Xenopus tropicalis: one gene and its partners. Each later gene encodes a partner of the first gene's protein in a complex. Links are inferred from orthologs where the notes say so. Each region holds a gene or a part of one and is shown on either strand. Other genes may lie near its edges.

The links. Proteins that work in one complex are often made in the same cells at the same time.
Region 2: exosc8 (region 1) and exosc5 share a complex: the UniProt entries of both Homo sapiens proteins name them as parts of the RNA exosome core complex. The link is inferred for Xenopus tropicalis from reciprocal best matches to the Homo sapiens genes EXOSC8 and EXOSC5.
Region 3: exosc8 (region 1) and exosc4 share a complex: the UniProt entries of both Homo sapiens proteins name them as parts of the RNA exosome core complex. The link is inferred for Xenopus tropicalis from reciprocal best matches to the Homo sapiens genes EXOSC8 and EXOSC4.

The regions. Positions count from the first base shown.
Region 1 is NC_030678.2:151,678,655-151,682,166, forward strand, and holds part of exosc8 (exosome complex component RRP43), read right to left. Parts: intron 3,342-3,512; coding exon 3,236-3,341; intron 2,518-3,235; coding exon 2,472-2,517; intron 1,500-2,471; coding exon 1,403-1,499; intron 1-1,402. UniProt on the Homo sapiens protein: Non-catalytic component of the RNA exosome complex which has 3'->5' exoribonuclease activity and participates in a multitude of cellular RNA processing and degradation events.
Region 2 is NC_030684.2:79,502,196-79,506,396, forward strand, and holds the start of exosc5 (exosome complex component RRP46), read right to left. Parts: upstream 2,813-4,201; 5' UTR 2,783-2,812; coding exon 2,695-2,782; intron 1-2,694. Other genes in the region: bckdha (2-oxoisovalerate dehydrogenase subunit alpha, mitochondrial), read left to right, coding at 3,009-3,080. UniProt on the Homo sapiens protein: Non-catalytic component of the RNA exosome complex which has 3'->5' exoribonuclease activity and participates in a multitude of cellular RNA processing and degradation events.
Region 3 is NC_030682.2:151,308,980-151,313,169, forward strand, and holds the start of exosc4 (exosome complex component RRP41), read right to left. Parts: upstream 2,813-4,190; 5' UTR 2,809-2,812; coding exon 2,638-2,808; intron 1,052-2,637; coding exon 845-1,051; intron 109-844; coding exon 1-108. UniProt on the Homo sapiens protein: Non-catalytic component of the RNA exosome complex which has 3'->5' exoribonuclease activity and participates in a multitude of cellular RNA processing and degradation events.

The DNA of each region.
Region 1 (3,512 bases):
GCTACAGACTGTGGCGAGTTCAAGCTTCGCTGTTTGATCATTTTGCCTCATGTTTTTTTCCCTATCCACTCCCACCAGAATGGCCTGGTCTAGGAAAGGACACTTTTGATTTCACTTTAGGATGTGCCCTTACATTAATGTGCAATATTTAGCACCACAACATATGTAGCTTGTAGTAAATACACAGTTCACCACATTAAAGGAGAACTAACTTTTATCTAAAGGAGGAAGGGAGAAACATTGTATATTATATTTTGTATGAGCCAAAGACAGCCACAGCCCTTTAGCAGGGAAGATCTGTGCCCCCAGTAGCCCCCATCTTCTTTTCTGCTGATTCCCAGCACATGCTCTGTGCTGCTGTCACTTACCTGAGCTTAGGGACCCACTCACACTATACTGTATATATAGAATATAAACTGCGGCTGAACTATAAAGGAAGCAGACCTCAAGGGGGACATGACCACAGGGTTTGCTTTGTCTGTAGCCTAGAGATCCCACCCCCAGCCACTCATTTAAATATTTATGCAGGACCACAAGAGCATGCCGGGCCCCCGCCCCCCCACATTTTTTTTCTTTTGAGAAGGGGGGCCACTGCTGAATATAAGTATAACAATATAAGACTGATTAGTATACAATAAAAATTATTAGTATGTCATCTCAGAAACTAGTGCAATTACCATCAGCTTATATTACAGACAAACCTCATTTTCTGCTTGATAATTTAGCTGCTCAGAGCACACTGAGCATGTGCAGTGTCACTGACACTTCTAACAAAATCAAAGATGTAGGAGCTTCTGTGCATAACTTTAAAGGGATCATTATAGAGATGCTGAACCTTTAGGCTGGTGCAATAAGTTCAATACATATAATTTGGCATTTCTAGCTATATTCATTTTTATGGTTTAGTTCTACTTTAAAGGTAAACTAAAGCTTAACATAGAAGTAGGGTAAAAATGTTGTACATTATGTTTGGGGGTTTGTACCAGCCCAAGGCAACCCCAGCCCTTTAGCAGGGAAGATCTGTGTCTCATAAAATGCCATTTTTTTTTCTGCTGATACACTGAACATGTAACTTCCTTATAATTTAATAATCAGCCCTGTAGCACCAGGTTATATGACAGACAAACCTTATAATTTGCAACAACCGCTAACTGGAAAAGTTCAATAGGGAGGTTTTGGACAGCCAGACCTAGATAATGGAATGGATTGCATAAGCAATGCAAAAACGTCAAACTGAGCCAGTCTGCTCTGGGGGTATATTTGGTATTAACATGAATCTCAGACATAATAATAAACAAGTGATTCCCACTGAGGTTTAGTGGCAACAGGACTTGCAACAGCTGTACAGCACTTCATTCTTACCCTGTACCCTCAAAGACTGTTTCACTGAACAATGACTTACCATTCTGTAAAGCAGCAACCAAAGCACACATGCAAGTATCAAGAAGGTTTCCATCGTAATCGAGACATATGAGATCACAGTACAGAACCCATGCTAGCTAGAGAGGGGAAAGAACAAAAATAAGTCAAAGGGGAACTATACATTTAATATTAAAGTATAACCAATAGCTCATTTATAGTCCACTAGGTCACCTTTCAAAAAATTAAACTAAATTGGCATATACATATCAGTATATAATGCCCTTTATAAATTTTACCTTACATGTAAACCCTACATTTTCCTACCATGTATATAAGTTGGACACAACTCCCCCACCCACACCGCATCATTTGTATTACATATATCCCTCTGTTTGCCAGCACCATCAATTTTCCTAAAACAAATAGCAGCTTTCACCCAGCTGCAATTTTCCCTCTGGCAAATCATCAGTGACATTTATATCTGTAAACAGCATGTGTGCTGCAAAGTTCATAAAATCAAAAATGCAGGCTTACACAGGCAGAACTTAAAAAACAATTCTGCGTGTTTCTCCAGCAGAATGTACAGCTAGAGCAGAGTTTCTATGGAAACTGGTGAGTGCAGGGCCCCCGCTGGCCACATCTCCTGCCACGCACCCTAACCCCCCCCCCCCCCCCGCCGCAGGGGCCCCTAACGTCCTCCCCTGAGCATGCCTAAGTGAAATGCGTCAGTGGTTTTTTCCCGGTGTCCCGGCTGCCCAGTCCAACCCTGATTAAGATTAGGACTGTACCAAATCCACAATTTCTGGATTTCGACAAATACCGCATTCTCCAAACAAGAATCAGCTGAATACCAAACCAAATCCATCTAATTTGCCTATGCGTATTTAAGAAAAATAACAACAGTGCATTAATTGTGACTTTCTCTAAGTGTTTCGGAACAGCTGAACACCTAGAATTTGGCTGAATCCAAATCCTGCATCCTGATTTGGGGCATCCATTCCCATACAGATATGTAATAATGCAATGGCCGTTTGCCCCTGCAAGCATCACCAAAATACATTCAATAACTATTAAAAACCAAACGCCTGTTTGTATCACTTGATCCATACCTTGCCATGTGCGATGCACAAGTCTTCTTTCAGGAGCATCTGGGAACTGAACACATGTTAAAGATTACATGGACAATTGTTTCATCTCTTGTTTTTCCTGTTTCAGTATTGCTTGTATTAATAATGAAAACCAGCTACAACAGGCAATATACACTCAATACTCTTGTTTGGTGGGTCACCAAATGAACAAATCTTTGGCCAATTGGCCACCCAAGTGGTAAATAAAAAGAGGGGTGATCTAGCCATGTGGCCCTTGCAGAGCCTTTTTCCACAGGTTTTCTCTGGTGCCTGTGATTCATGTCGGAGACTTTCCTTATTGATATATCTACCATAAGTCACGAATAAGTCAGGCTACAACCTGACGTGGGAAAAGTTTATATCTTCAGTAAGACTAATTATGACACATCCTATAATACTGATACTGACAAATTTCAATTATACAATTGAGTTAGTAAAATAAGAACCCCCAACAAAAGCAATTGTGGGCTCTTATACCCCTATACCCTCATTGTTTAGGTTTAGATCCATAGGTCACACTGGGCTGGGGGCAGCCCAATTATCTGACAGAGTACAATTTAAATCTGTACCCCACCCAGTTGGGGCACTGTGCTGCCCTTAGCCCAGTATGACTGAGGATGACAGTCTGCACAGAAGATGCCAAAGTGGTTATTGCAGGGCTGGGGGTTACTAATGGTTTTTTATATTATTATTTAGTGACACAGGAACATGATCATCACTTTGTTCACAAACAACCATCATCTTACTTGTCAATAACATCTGCTATGAACTGACTGGCAACTTGAGCCTCTTCCCCTGGGGGACCAGGCCGAAACTGAGAGGAGCACAAGGGTGTAAGATCCACATTTGGAACTGGAAATGGAAAAAAGAGATATCTCTGTCAGCACAAAAGAAAAATTCCCTTAAAAGATAACTATAAGCTGCAGAATAACTGTGCTTAATACAGGACAATACTTATACTGGTATAGCTCTATGACATCTCTGTAAAGGCTGCCACAAACTTCCCTATCACCCCCAGTCCCT
Region 2 (4,201 bases), on another chromosome or scaffold:
AGTTAGCCTTAAGGTGGCCATACACCTTACAATTACAATCTTTCCTGCAACCATTTGTCTCAGGAAAGATCGTTCCCACCCTCCACTGGCATTCAGAGTTGAATTGTCAGATATGGAGGTAGAAACAATAAGGATTCTACCTCCACCTGACAATTAAGCCCTAAACACAGATTTTGCTCGTATAAAAGTCTTCTGTCCCGCCCGTTCCACGAGGCGACATATCCGAAGCTTTTGTGATGTTCACCTCGTCGATCCACCATACACACAGTGAATATCGTATGAAACTAGGTGCATCGGTGCATGTATGTCAGCTTTAGTCACATAAAACTACAGTAGCCAGATTACTGCCTGTGTGATATATAAACGAACCTGAATTATGAGTTTTTACCTTTCTTTCTTCTTTAAAGCAATCTCAGCAGGGGCTCAAACACAGCCAATCATAATCACAGATGGCCGTAAGTTCCACTGTGGAAATGGAAAAATTGCCTTTTCAGGCAAAGGCAAAATGACAAGCACCATGGGGGTACTAGAAAAGAACAAGTTTGTGATTTGCTGCTTGTGCAACTTAAGTGAGGCAATGCATTCAATCTACCCATTTTATGCAGTGATCTTATGGTCATGTCTTTAGTTAATGGAGGCTTCTCTGGTTATTTATGCAGTGATTTTACTGGCATGTCTGGATTTTTTTTTTTGGTTTTAGTTTTAATTTTATGATCATGGTATTTTGGGTGTGGTAAAATGTGGGTGCAGTCATACCATGGCAGTTAACTGTGTCCCTCTTTGTAGTTTTCAAATGGCGGGAGGAGCATGGCAGTTAATTGTGTCCCTCTTTCGAGTTTTCAAATGGTGATAGGTATAAAAAGGTGGTGAGTAAAACTGTACACAAGGTGGATAAAGTGATAGGTCTTGATCAATGCAGCTTGGTAGAACAGAGTTGCAGAGAGTTTGGTGTGAATTCTAAGCCACCATGATATACCTGCTTGATATCTAGGTCAATGTGCTTACACCCTTTAGTTTCTTTTTTCCGAATTAATCTATTTTTGTGTGACTGGAGAACTGCATTAAAAATTATACTGCATTAAAAATTATTAACTGGTCAAAATGCTATAAACCACCTAAACATGGTACTGGATTGCTACTTTGTAAGGATAGCTCACATTTTTTGTTGAAACTCATTTCTAATCTTTATTCTAAAATTGAATATGGTGCAGAGCCTAGGAGCCCAAAACTACAAGCCCCTATAGCTATAATACACAAGATTTTCTTTACCAACATTGATCAGTGATGTAATTTGTATAATTTACTGACTAAAACCTCCTCTGTTGTAAAATATGTGGATATTAGAAGCCACCTCAGAGTTCAATGACCTGTATTAAACCACTTGGCCTTTGGTTCTGTGCCTGTATATGGTCATGGCACTCTAAGGAGACTTCCAATACCCTTATATTTTTTAATATGGTGTATATTCCCTATATTTTGGTTTATTTAAATGCGTACACACAGGTATCATAATCACAGTGCTGTACATGACCGTTTATAGCTCTAGAGTAAGAGTATGGTCAGTCTGTCCCCAATTCAATTTGGTGTCCAATATTTTAAAGGACCTTTTCCTAAATAAATATATATGTATTTGTACAAATGAATTGTAATTTTAAGCAGTGTTATAATATGCAGGAATTAAACATGTTAAATGTTTTTTTTTAAGTAATTTCTAAATAAAATTCCAAGAGCAGTTTGTCTGCCTTTGCTATTATTTGCTACCAGACTATAGAAATAATTAAATAAAAAATGTCTCTCCTCACCACCACCTCAGTTCCTACAAATTTGCCTTGTACTATTCTTTTATTTTACTTTGCAGCTGATAATGGCAGAACAAGCAAGGCATTGTGAGATTTGGAGTAGTTAAAGGAACAGTAACACCAAAAAATGAAAGTGTATAAAAGTAATTACAATATAATGTACTGTTGCCCTATATTGCTACAACTGGTGTGTTTGCCTCAGAAAGACTACTATAGTTTATATAAGTTAGCTGCTGTGTAGCTATGGGGGCAGCCATTCAAAGGAGAAAAGGCACAGGTTACTTAACAGATAACAGATAAACCCCCATTATATGGGGCTTATCTACTAGTTATCGGCTACGTAACCTGTGCCTTTTCTCCTTTTTTCCAGCTTGAATGGCTGCCCCCGTGGCTACACAGCAGCTTATTTATATTGTAGCTTTTCTGTAGCAAAAACACCAGTTTTTTGCAGAGCAACAGCACATTATATTTTAATTACTTTAAAACACTTTCATTTTTTGATGTTACTGTTCCTTTAAGAGTAGCTGGGGAAACCAGGAGAGAGTTGCAATAAACAGGCTGAAACTTTTTTCTCAGTAACAATTGTATCAATTTTAAAATCATGAACATTTTTTATTATCCTATATTGGAAAATTGCTTAATTTACAAGTTTGCAGTTCAGCAACCACCTACTTTAGACAAATACAACACATACATTCCCCATTGCTGTCCTCTGCATTATGACAACATGGAAGAGCTGTTCCATTAAATGAGAATAACGGCCACTGGATTTACAATTCAATTTCCATCCAATGATTTAGCCGCAAAACATTTTACGCTTCCCTTCAATATGTATCCCTTGATATCCTCGTATTCCACATAAGATTTGAGGAATTATAGGCGCGCCAAAACTAACCCTGAAGAAACGTAGCGGATCCATCGGGACGGCTCAGCAAACTCTGCTCACACCCGTATTCCCGCAATACAGAACCTACAGCCTCCATCAGAACCTTCTTTCCACATGTGCAAACACTTCCGGGGTCCTTGGGGTCTGGCAACCGCCACACTTGCCTGTATAATTATACACAACAATGCCAAAGCCTTTTTTCCCAGGGAATAATAGGAAATACGCAATTCTCGCAATTTCTCACTTCAGAGGTTATTTTTGACAAGCTGTTGAATAGGGGTCCTAAGAGAAATGTAGGCAGTGGGATAGCATTCCGAAGCAAGATGGCGGCGCTGAGGGCACTTCTAAGGGTCCGGACTGTGGCAGGAGGGTGGAGAGGCGCCGGTGGGAGACAGGTGAGAGGAGTACAGGGGTCGCGTTGGTGTGAGTGAAACAGACGATAATCAGATGGAAGGGGAGTTTAAATGTTTTATTTCTAAATGCGAGACCCTGGTCTTGTATACTGAGAAGTATACACATCTTGTACCATAAGGTACATCGCATCTAAAATACTAGTATGCCTGTCTGACGTATATACATGGGAACTACAAGAACTGTTTGAATTGGGAGATGTGTTTTAAAAGTTATATGCTATAATAAACGTGGGTTATAGTTACAGTTCAGAATTATGTAAAAATATGTGATATTGCTGACTAGATTTGTAAGGAGTCAAATTTACATTTGAATTTACAGCTTATATAGTATATACATTTATATGCTTTAGCCTTAAATAACAGGTTGGTTGATTGTCTGTCCATAAACCAGCTGGTGACAACATTGTTTCAGCTATATAAATAGGAAGAATATGTTTGTATACATACTCCCAAAATGCACACACATATTTCCAGGTATATATTTGTATAGTGCTACTTGTATACACAGCCCTGTACATATCTATATATAAGTATTTGTATAAAATTGCCTGTGCTTTTGATCAGCAGTTCTGGGACTGGAATATTATAGGTTGGAGTATTATAGAAGCAACATTCTAGTAATATTCCTAGTTCTGTACTGTACCACAGTTATTGCTTACACTGTATTGGATTCTCTGTGTTTTTGCATACGGGAAAGAATATATATTTTCAAGGTGTTCTAACTTTTTTTTCATGGTGCAGTGTAAAATGTTTTTAGAAAACATAATTATTTGCAGATACTTGTAGCCTAAATTGTGCTTTTAGTTATGTGATTTAACGGGCAAGACCAAGGTGTTACGCATTAAAGATGTGTGATGCTCTGGTGGGAAAAAAAAATATGGAACCCCCTCCCCCAGCACTATACCATACATTTTGGAGCTGGATTATAATACAATGATAATGTCATGGACAGAAATCAGAGGAGCACTTTGGCCTGTAGGGGAACATAACCTCTTGAAGAGCCCCGTGGTCTGGAGCAAAACTAGATGGTTTTAATTATTACTTATTCTTGCATATTAAATAACTATTACTACAGTTTAATTAGGATATGCCTAGTATTTGTC
Region 3 (4,190 bases), on another chromosome or scaffold:
CGCCGAGCTGGCGCACACGTAGTCGCGCATGGGAATGCCGGCGTCGATCACGGCCAGGGTGGCGGCATTCACACATGTGCAGTAGTTGCCCCCGTCTGCTTGCAGGATCTGGGCAGGGAGAGTCATGTGATCATATCCAGCGCAGCACAACACGGGAGCCAGTATGGCAGCACCAAGATACCACATACATGCACCACTGAGATATCCCCACATAGTGACTCCCAGGAACTACTCTTGGTGGCCAGGGGGATGCTGGGAATTTTAGTACAGCCCAAGGGCCACAGATTGGGGACCACTGACTAAAGGATTTGGGGGGTTCACCTTTAAGTTAACTTTTAGTACGTTATAGAATGGCCAATTCTAAGCAACTTTTCAATTGGTCTTCATTATTTATATTTTTTATAGTTTTTTATCTATTTCCCTTCTTCTTCTGACTCTTTGCAGCTTTCAAATGGGGGTCACTGACCCCGGCAGCCAAACCCTATTGCTCTGTGAGGCTCCAGTTTTATAGTTATTGTTACTTTTTATTCCTTATCTTTCTATTCGGCCCCTCCCCTATTCATATACCAGTCTCTCATTCAAACCACTCCCTGGTCGATAAGGTAATTTGGATCCTAGCAACCAGATAGCTGCTGAACAAGTGAAACAACTAAAAAACTACAAATATAAAAATGAAGACCAATTGCAAATTGCCTCAGAATATCACTCTCATACTAACAGTTTAACTCAAAGGTGAACCTCCCCTTTAAGGTCAATTTAAAGTGAAACAGCCCCTATTTAAGCCCCGCACTATTGTTACAACTTGCCGATGCCCCACCCACTGGCTGATGCCCCTCCCACTCACCTGCACGTAGATATCTATCTGTGAGCGCGGGTACAACTGGGTGAGGATGGCGGCCTCGAACGTCTGCTTTAGGTGCAGGGTCATCTCGCTGGACTTGCGGTCCCCGTGGGGGCGGCGCTTCCTCTCGCCGGTGCTGAAGGTCGCCATACTGTACTGGCAGTTCACCACTGAGCGGTCGTGGAGCATTTTACTGCGAGAGCCGCGGATCTGTGGGCACAGCGTTACGGGCACCGTTACACATGGAACTGGGGTATGGGGGCGGGACTAGCAGTGGGCACAGGCAGCCGTGTGTAGGCAGGGTAAGTATCCCAGCAGCAACCACTTACCCACCCCCATACTGTGCCAACCCCTTACCCACCCACCCCCATACTGTGCCAACCCCTTACCCACCCCCATACTGTGCCAACCCCTTACCCACCCCCATACTGTGCCACCCCTTACCCACCCCCATACTGTGCCAACCCCCCCCATTATCCCACCCCCTACTACTGTGCCACCCCCTTACACCCCCCCCATACTTGCCAACCCCTTACCCACCCCCATACTTGCCTACCCCTTACCCACCCCCATACTTTGCCTACCCCTTACCCACCCCCATACTGTGCCAACCCCTTACCCACCCCCATACTTTGCCTACCCCTTACCCACCCCCATACTGTGCCAACCCCTTACCCACCCCCATACTGTGCCAACCCCTTACCCACCCCATACTGTGCCAACCCCTTACCCACCCCCATACTGTGCCACCCCCTTACCCACCCCCATACCCACCCACCCCCATACTGTGCCACCCCCTTACCCACCCCCCATACTGTGCCAACCCCTTACCCACCCCCATACTTTGCCTACCCCTTACCCACCCCCATACTTTGCCTACCCCTTACCCACCCCCATACTTTGCCTACCCCTTACCCACCCCCATACTGTGCCAACCCCTTACCCACCCCCATACTGTGCCTACCCCTTACCCACCCCCATACTGTGCCAACCCCTTACCCACCCCCATACTGTGCCAACCCCTTACCCACCCCCATACTGTACCAACCCCTACCCACCCCATACTGTACCAACCCCTTACCCACCCCCATACTGTGCCAACCCCTTACCCACCCACCCCCATACTGTGCCAACCCCTTACCCACCCCCACTGTGCCACCCACTTACCCACCCCCATACTGTGCCAACCCCTTACCCACCCCCATACTGTGCCACCCACTTACCCACCCCCATACTGTGCCAACCCCTTACCCACCCCCATACTGTGCCAACCCCTTACCCACCCCCATACTGTGCCAACCCCTTACCCACCCCCATACTGTGCCACCCCCTTACCCACCCCCATACTGTGCCAACCCCTTACCCACCCCCATACTGTGCCACCCACTTACCCACCCCCATACTGTGCCAACCCCTTACCCACCCCCATACTGTGCCAACCCCTTACCCACCCCCATACTGTGCCAACCCCTTACCCACCCCCATACTGTGCCAACCCCTTACCCACCCCCATACTGTGCCACCCACTTACCCACCCCCATACTGTGCCACCCACTTACCCACCCCCATACTGTGCCACCCACTTACCCACCCCCATACCCACCCACCCCCATACTGTGCCAACCCCTTACCCACCCCCATACTGTGCCAACCCCTTACCCACCCCCATACTGTGCCACCCACTTACCCACCCCCATACTGTGCCACCCACTTACCCACCCAAGTAACCCAGCGGTCTCTCCCCTATAGTAATGCCTCTGAGCCATTCAGCCCGTCCGTGTGGCCCCAGCACTCACCTCATGGGGCCCATATACCACAGCCAGGGCCTTGGTGTTCCCCTGCTCGATATAAGCGGAGCCATCGGCCTGAGCGAACACTCCCATCCTGGCCCGTATCTTGCGCAGCTCCCCGGCTTTCCTGCCATCCACCCGGTAGCCCTGGTCCGACAGCAGCTCCAGCCCCGCCATCCCGCACCACGTTCTCACGGTATAAACTACAACTCCCAGAAACCACCGCGCCGCCACTTTCCGTTCCTCTTTCCGGAAGTGTCTGGGTGCCCGCCTCCACGTCACATAAAGGGGCGGTGCCAAAGTGATAGTTACTTCGTGTAGTAGAATTGCGCTTTTACCTCAGTTCGTTACAAGTGGCGCTAATTCCTATTGCTGGTCCCTATGGCGCTATTGTGCGGCCCAGTTGGGCTCTGAGCCATGTTTCCTATTTCACACTGTTATTTTCCCATGTTACTGAGCAGAAACTGTATATATATATATATTATGTTCCCCTGTCACTGTGCAGCCTACTCACCTATGGGTTTTCCCCATAGTAACCAGGAAAGGAACATTCCACTGAGCATTTACATTTTCCCTTTCACTGTAGATTCATAGTACTGACACTGTTACACAGCAAATAATTCCCTCTGCCATTTAACCTTTTATTCTTCAACCAACAAATGTATTTGTAGCTGTAATATTGGCGTGTAGGCGCCATCTCAGTGCCTTGTGCCTGAGTCTGAGCTTTCAGCCAGCGCTACACATTAGAACTGCTTTCAGCTAACCTATTGTTTCCCCTACTCCCATGTAACTGGGGGAGTCCCAAGCCGGACTTGGATTTCTTACTATTGAGTGCTATTCTGATACCTACTGGGAGCTGCTATCTTGCTCCCTTCCCATTGTTCTGCTGATCGGCTGCTGGGGGTGAGGGGGGGGGATATCACTCCAACTTGCAGCGCAGCAGTAAAGTGTGCCTGAGTCTGAGCTTTCAGCCAGCGCTACACATTAGAACTGCTTCCAGCTAACCTATTGTTTCTCCTACTCCCATGTAACTGGAGGAGTCCCAAGCCGGACTTGGATTTCTTACTATTGAGTGTTATTCTGATACCTACTGGGAGCTGCTATCTTGCTCCCTTCCCATTGTTCTGCTGATCGGCTGCTGGGGGGGAGGGGGGGATATCACTCCAACTTGCAGCGCAGCAGTAAAGTGTGCCTGAGTCTGAGCTTTCAGCCAGCGCTACCCATTAGAACTGCTTTCAGCTAACCTATTGTTTCTCCTACTCCCATGTAACTGGAGGAGTCCCAAGCCGGACTTGGATTTCTTACTATTGAGTGCTATTCTGATACCTACTGGGAGCTGCTATCTTGCTCCCTTCCCATTGTTCTGCTGATCGGCTGCTGGGGGTGAGGGGGGGGGATATCACTCCAACTTGCAGCGCAGCAGTAAAGTGAAACTGAAGTTTATTAGGGCTCAGGTCACATGGCTGTGGCACCCTGGGAAATGAAGAATATGGCTAGCCCCATGGGAAAAACAGATTACAATGCAGGATTCAGCGGGAGACGCTCTATTAACTGATGGG